2 linked regions of the Cricetulus griseus genome follow. The protein of the gene in region 2 purifies or fractionates together with the protein of the main gene of each other region. This does not show direct contact. Links are inferred from orthologs where the notes say so. Each region holds a gene or a part of one and is shown on either strand. Other genes may lie near its edges.

What was found.
Region 1: the proteins of Etv6 (region 2) and Lrp6 purify together in Homo sapiens (affinity purification with mass spectrometry; 3 studies listed by BioGRID and IntAct, counting the BioPlex papers as one, with this or other methods). This does not show direct contact. The link is inferred for Cricetulus griseus from reciprocal best matches to the Homo sapiens genes ETV6 and LRP6.

What each region holds. Positions count from the first base shown.
Region 1 is NC_048601.1:14,504,592-14,508,410, forward strand, and holds part of Lrp6 (low-density lipoprotein receptor-related protein 6), read left to right. Parts: intron 1-700; coding exon 701-995; 3' UTR 996-3,819. UniProt on the Homo sapiens protein: Component of the Wnt-Fzd-LRP5-LRP6 complex that triggers beta-catenin signaling through inducing aggregation of receptor-ligand complexes into ribosome-sized signalosomes.
Region 2 is NC_048601.1:14,704,398-14,708,216, forward strand, and holds part of Etv6 (transcription factor ETV6), read right to left. Parts: intron 1,333-3,819; coding exon 1,227-1,332; 3' UTR 1-1,226. UniProt on the Homo sapiens protein: Transcriptional repressor; binds to the DNA sequence 5'-CCGGAAGT-3'. Plays a role in hematopoiesis and malignant transformation.

The sequences.
Region 1 (3,819 bases), about 200 kb from region 2:
AAAGTTCACTGGCCCTCTGGGCATTTTAACTGTACTTAGCACAGTATATCTGACCATGCAGAAATCAGAACTACTATCAGACAAATTATGAAATGACCAAAAAGTGTTGAGTGAGAGTAGACTGTGTGAAGACCTATTTCCACGCTATGAAGCTGCAGGAACTGCTGAGTTCTCTGAGAGTGAGGTGTATAACAGGTGGGCTGAGGCTGGAGGTGAGCAGTAGACCATTTGCTCTGTGAGGGCAAGGCCCTGGGTTCAGTCCCCAGCACCGGGGACACTAGAACAGTTTTCCAAAGTGCATCAGTAATAAAGATGCTGGGGTCAAACCCAGGGCTTATGTACACCACTTGCACTTAAATTCATCTCAAGGTAGCAGAGCACATTTGGGGCTCCATTGAGTTCCTCTCTGCCCTCCAACTCCATCCATTTTCACTTGCTTCTAGTTATATCTTACTTGCAAATAAGAAACTGCAAAGGTCTCCCTGTGACAATAAAAAGCACAGTGGGCTTAATTTGGGATAGTGATACTGGAGACCCATGGCCTCACTGCACATGCCAGGGAAGGGCTACCCATCCATACAGACTTGAGCTGCAACAGCTTTTAGCTTTCAGACTGAATTTATGTGTTTCTCTGATTTCTGATACAGAATATTCTTTCATAAAACTAACTATGCTTCTCTTTATTTCTTCCATGTACTAGCTACAGGCCTTACAGCTACCGGCACTTTGCCCCGCCCACGACACCCTGCAGCACTGACGTCTGTGACAGTGACTATGCTCCTAGCCGGAGAATGACCTCAGTGGCAACAGCCAAGGGCTACACCAGTGACTTGAACTATGACTCAGAGCCTGTGCCCCCTCCACCCACACCCCGAAGCCAGTACTTGTCAGCAGAGGAGAACTATGAAAGCTGCCCCCCTTCTCCATACACAGAGAGGAGTTACTCCCACCACCTCTATCCACCACCGCCCTCCCCCTGCACGGACTCCTCCTGAGGAGGGGCCCTCCTCCTCTGACTGCCTCCACCGGGAAATGTAAATACACATCTGGTTGAGATCTGGAGGGGGGGAGGGAGCTGTAAAGAAGAGTGAGGCAGACTGTACAGTTAACATTATAAAGGGGGTGGGGTACTGGAGATATTTGTACAGAAGAAAAGGATATTTATATATTTTCTTAAAAGAGCAGATTTGCTGCTTGTGCCATAAAAGTTTGTATAAAATATAAGTTTGTACTAAAGGTTTTATTTTTGCAAACTAAATACACAAAGCATGCCTTAAACCCAGTGAAGTGACTGAGCACAAAGGAAACAGGGACAACAGAGACATCGCTGCCCGGAAGTCTGGGTTTTAATGATACCAAAAACTAAAGAAAAAGAAGAAATTCCATCTCAAGAGTGGCAAACTTGGAAGTAGCCAAATCGCCTTCAAATTAACTAACATTTGAGGGCCAACGAGTTAAGAAACCATAAAAGAAAAAAAAAATTACAGTACTAACTTTGGACAAAGGGCTTTGTTTTCTCTAGGAATCCAACAGTTTTCTTAAGGAAAATAGATATTTGTACAATCCATTTTGAGTGTTGCTGTTGCAGGATGCTGTGCAGCTGGTGAGAGCCCACACCTCTGTCCCAGTTCTTGGTAACATTGGCTGCTTTCACCTTGCTGCCTCCCCAGCAACTTGTAGGACGTTCTGCCAAGAGCCATGATTTAGTCAAGAATTTTAATCTGAGGAATTGACTAAATGGAATTTACTCAACAAGGGATTGATGATTCGGTGTATCTACTATGCTTGTTCACCATTTGGCTGAGCTTTTAAGTTGTAGGCTGTTTTTGCATAATCAGAAGTTAGCCATATTATTGGTCTTCCATGATTGTTTTAATGCTCATTAAAGTGTCTTTTTACAACACATATAGACAATGCTTAAAAATCACAAATCTAGCTGTTATATTTTTGTTAATTAGTTTTGTATCCTTGCAACATACAATATTACAGTGTGAGATCATTTTATGTATGTTTTTTGACTAAACATTGAAATGTGCTCTGGTTAGAAACAGTCTATTTAAAAAGAAGGGTTTTTTTGTTATTAGGTTTCCCCTATATTAACTGTTTGTGACATTTTCACTTTCTGTGGACCAGCTTTTTTCAGAGTGACGTCTACAGGCATACCTCTGTTAGTGTGGTGTGAGGTACCTTCTTGTTATGTATGCACTGTGAATGTATTTGTTTTCACATAACCCGCAGTCTGTTCTTACAGTCGCCTGTGTTTCTATGTGTGTTCTCTGTTATCCCATTATGGATTAAGATAGTTTCACAAACGTAACAGTGGAGATTAAATGAGAAGACTCACTGAACTTCTCAGCTGCAGGAACTTGAGTGGTGGGGACTAAGGGAAGTCTCTTCTGTAACATGTCTGACCTGCCATCATGACAGCCTGAGCTGCTACCTCTGCCGCTGTCAGGGCTGACCTGTGGGATGACCTTAGTTCACCCTGCTCTGCCTCTGTGCCAGGGTTAGTCTCCTGCTTCTTCCATGTGTCTAGCTCTCCTCTGCTAAAGTTGAGCTGTTTTTAAGCTAGTGTGCTTTTACCTTAGCAGGTGTTAATTACTTATTGAATATATTTTAAATTATATATTGATGTGAGGCTTCTCCAGATTTTAGAGCTTAAGCAAAAACAATGGAGGAAATGATTCCAGAATTTTGGTGGAGTTTAAATAACTTTTAAAATACACATAAGTACATTTTAAAAGAGAAAAACAAACCTTTTAAGATAATGCTGTGTTGTTGGGTACAGCTTAATCAAAATCAGGGCCACTTATCTTGCATATAAGTAAATGGCAATCCATCCGTGTCTTGCTTTTCAGTCAGATAATCATTAACTCTTCCTGTTACTGAAACAAAGTGCTCAGAGTCTAAGACAGAATGGACATCGAACTTGCCTTCTGTGATGCACAGGGGCGCTTGATGCTTAAGTGAAGATGGAAAGGTTAGCAATAACTGGGTATCAGTTAGAATTTGAGAATTCTATATGTTTACATTTTTAATGTGCATCTTTATCTGGTGGGCTTCCCATGTAGAGACTTGCACTATAGTGAGCTAAGAAGGATGCTGCCTTGTTGCGTCTCAGTCCAAGTGCTTGTGCTGCGATGGCAATGGCCTCTTCTTGCAAAATACTGATTTGTGTGCCAATTTGTTGAAATGATTCGAAGGCAGTTCAGGTTAATCTCAGTATCCTCTTTCTGGGGCAGCTGAGTATTTCTGAGAGTACTTTTTAGTGAGATGGTTGTTAAACTTGGGAAAGATAATGATGCTCAAGTTGCATGGACAGTTAAGTTTAAGTAAACTGTGTCTTGGTTATTGAACATAAGAAAAACAAGGCGAAAAATAAATTTACGAGAACACAAATTGGGAAAGGGAGGAATTTTTAAATTAGGATGTGTCTAGGTTGATTATTTAAGAGGAAACTTGAATAAAATTTGATTAGGTTCCAGAGTTACATGGATATTTATTTTGAACTTGTATCTTAAAGTATGCCTATAGGAGAGTGTGTGAGGTAAGCTTTGGTGTAGCTTGCTTTTGTACGCTGCAGCAAACTTTTCTGTATTGAAGTCTTTTATAACTAGGACTCAAACTTGACTTAGAGTCCTAGTCTTCTAACCAAGGCCCGAAAGTTCTGTTTTGGGTCAGGTAAATGGCACAGTCACAGAAAAAGTTTAAAATAGAGTTGGTGGGTAGAATATTACTAGGATTTTTCTTTTAAGATTTTACAGTGCTTTTGGCAGTGCACACCAAGTTGTAAAAATAGCCATCTATCTTAGGTAACAG
Region 2 (3,819 bases):
CTTGAAATACAGCAATGACAGGAGGAGAAATGAATGAATCTGAGGGATTTCCTGTCTTGTGCCGGTTGAGCAAAGACCGGCTGTGCTAAGTCTGCACTCCAGAGTCCTCCCTTATGTGTGGTCTATGTTCAGTAAGGACCAGCAAGGAAAAACAAAAAAAGGCTGGGGCTTGGAGTGGGGGTGGTGGCAATGAAACTGACCACTCTGCTTTCTCACCAGCCTTCACAACTTGTTCCTCACAGCAGAGAAGCTCTGCCTAGTTCCTGGAGCACTAGGCCTGTGTGAGCTTCTCGTATTTTCCCACTTTGCAGCATTTCCAGGATAATCCCAAAATGCCAGGGCCCTCCACATCATTTGTCCAGCCTCTGGCCTATCTTATGACCAGACCTCCCACTGATCTTTCTGGAATACAGCAGCATTTATGAGGTGTTTGGCCTCCCTCAGATGCCCAAGGCCACTGGCTGTGTGCTGATGGCCCAGAACAGCTGGGCCAATGTTTACTTTAGGTGCTAGTGAGGCCAGGTCTGCTAAAAGGCATGTGACATTGAACAGCAGGCAGAGGAGGCAGAAGGAGGGGTAGAATGAGTGAGAGAAGGGGGGCGAGAGGGAGACGGAGACGGAGACCTCTTTCATGTTTTGCAAGTATCTTTTCTTTTTTCTTCTCATCCAAGACCCGACTGCAACAGGACAAACCTGATCTGTGTGGCAGGAAAAAGAGGGGCCTGATCCCTTCTGCAAGTCTCTTTCCTGACCAGCTGAGCTGGCTGTACTTCGGGAGATTTGCAAAAATAAAAATAAAAAAAATAGATATATAATAGATATATTTCCATAGGAAAACAACATGTGATGTCTTCCCCTGTATGAACGATGAATAGTCAAACTGCATGTTCTTAAAAACAAAAAACAAAACCCCCAAAAACAAAACCAGAAACACCATGGGACTAACAGCAGGTGCGGGGTGGGGTGAGGCGTTACAGACAAGAGGTCCAAAGGAGAAGCAAGTGTGACATGTGAGTCTCAGGCTTGTGCCCTCTGCCAGAATTCCAGCCCCGCCATTGCTGGGTGGTTTGTCTAAGGTGCTCTGGGTCCCTCTCGGTCTGCGAGAGAAGTGTTCCTGCCATTCCTGGGCCTCTTCCTTCTTAGCCACACCCAGCTCCATCACACCTCTAATGGTCCCTGTGCGCAGGGTTCATTTTGGCCAGCCGGTGAGGCCGTGGTGGGTCCCCTTAGCATTCGTCCTCTTGGTACGATTGTTCATCTAGCTCCTGAGACTCGAGGTGCTCTAGACGGTCTGTCCGGCCGCTCATGATTTCATCTGGGGTTTTCATGAACCTTTGGAGCAGGAAATGAAAGCGTCAGAAGAGTCTATTCCCAAAGATACCCTCCCTCTCCACTCCAACCCCCAGAGCAACATAACACGGAGCTGGGGACCCACTGAACCTACACACCGGTGCTACCTCGGCATAGATTAGGGAAAGGTTCCTTTCTTACCCTTCTGAAAGGTGACAAGATGACCATGACAAGTTGAGGGGACTATGAGAAGACAGCTCCTTTTGGAGATAGGGGTGTGTTATTGCTGGTTTGGTGCCTTACTGCTGGATTGTAGGTCAGAACCTGGGTACTACTTATTGTCTGTTTCTTAGCTTTAAAGATTATGTGTGTGGTGTATGTACACACGTGTGGATGAACCCCACTGTGCAGAGGACCAACAGGACATCAGGTATGCCACCCTGTCACTTTCTGCCTTAGTCCTATGAGACGACTGGGGGCCAGCCAGGCCTGGTGACCCACCTGTCTCTGCTCTCCACAGAGCTGGGGTTACAGGTGTGTGCACAGTCTCATCTGGCTTTGTCTGAGTGCTGGGGACTTGAACTCAGGTCCTTATGCTTGCCCGGTGGAGCCTTCTCTTCATCCCTGAGTTAGACTTTTATAAAGACCCACCAGAGTTCTACATCTGCTCCCACTCCAGTCTGAGGACTCAGGGAATAGTATTCAAAACTTGACTTGAACTCAAGGGATGCTATTAGATGTTAACTGGATACTTTTTACCAACGGGCAGCTTAGGGAGGGAGGTCTCTGAAAATCAGGAAAGCGAGAAGGATCTGTGTCCACCATCTATCTGAACTGTCAGAAAGGACTTCCCTTTAGCACGCCCCCTTCTGTTGTAGCTGGAGTGTGCAGCAAGCCTCACATTCTTAGTCACTGTGTGTCACTTGGAATAGCACCAATGTCATGTTCTGACTATTGTTTGCACAGTGCAGGGAGGAAGCTTGGTTGCAAATGTCCCATCTTTTCCTGGATGGCGGGGGACGGACGACGACTCCGCAGTCGACACTTTCCCCTCTTCCTATGCCCTGCCCCAAGCCTATGAACAACCTTCAAACACGTTTCCTCTCATCATCCCACCAGGTCAGAGATGCAGTCTTTGATCCATCTGCCATTACCCCCACCGAAACACTTACTTTCCCACTGTTCACTTCCGTTAACTCACCACTCCTGCCCGCTAGTCCTGACAGAAACCATGGCTTGTGCCCTTTTGCAAATTTTCAACATTGTTCTGATCTGGAACCTTCTGGATCCCTTCCAGAGGTGCTTATCGGTACAAGTCCACACTGCAGTCTACCTAAACATCCTGAAACATACCGACCATGCCCTGCCTTCCGTGGATTACAGGGGAGTCATGGACTAATAAGCCATCGTTTTGTGCAGTTTGGCTTCCGCTCTAATAGCACGCTCCCTTTCTCGTGCTCAGAGCCCCTCACTGGATGTTAGGGGACCTGCCTCGTCTACCGACACTCCTTTCTGCTGGAGACTGCTAAGTTCCCTGGGCAGTGCACATCACAGTGCCTGCTGCTTGTCTCTACTTCCATCTTCTTGCTAAAACTTCTCCCTCAACACCTGAAGTTGCTAAAGATCCAGGCCAACTTTACAGTTCACACTGGATTCGGCTTTCAGAACTGCCCCTTCTTCAGGCCACTCTGATATTCCATACCAGGACAGTCAATAAACACTTATTGAAACTCTCCCTAATTTATACACAAGGTTAAATAGATCAGAAGGCTCATCTCCTAGGAGTTACGGTTTACTTGTGGTGAGGAACGCTTCACGCATATTTTTGTTTTAAGATTATTTATTTTTAATTTTAGATGCAAATGGTGTTTTGCCTGCATGTGTGTCTGGGTGAGGTTGTCTGATCCCCCAGAACTGGAGTCATGGACAGTTGTGAGCGGCCATGTGGGTGCTGGGAATTGAACTCAGGTCCTCTGGAAGAACAGCCAGTGATCTTAACCACTGAGCCATCTCTCCAGCCTCCACACATGTTATTATGCTATACTATTCACAATTACTAAGGCTGTTTTAAAGATTTATTTTTATATATGTATATGTCCTGCCTGAGTTTATGTGTGCCCTGTGCATGCAGGAGCCTGAAGAGGCCAGAAGAGAGCACCGGATACCCTGGCAATGGAGTTACAAGTAGGTGTGAGCCATCACGTGGGTGCTGGGAACGGAACCTGGGGCTTTTACAAAAGCACTAACCGCTCTTAACTGCTCTTAACCTTTCCAGCCCCATACATACTATTAAAAATGGACATTACAGTGTGCTGGAGGAAAGGCAACTCAGGAGTTGGTGGAAAAGGGTGTCTATGTCTGACTGAGCATTTCAGAGGGCCCTGTAATAGTCAACTGGATGTAGCCTCGAAGGTGTGCATATGTGAAAAATTAAGGGGATACACATGCCTGGCAGAGGAACTGGAATGCTACTCCCTTTCTGTCATATACCTCATGAATACGCTTGTCACAGACTTCAACCTGAGGCAG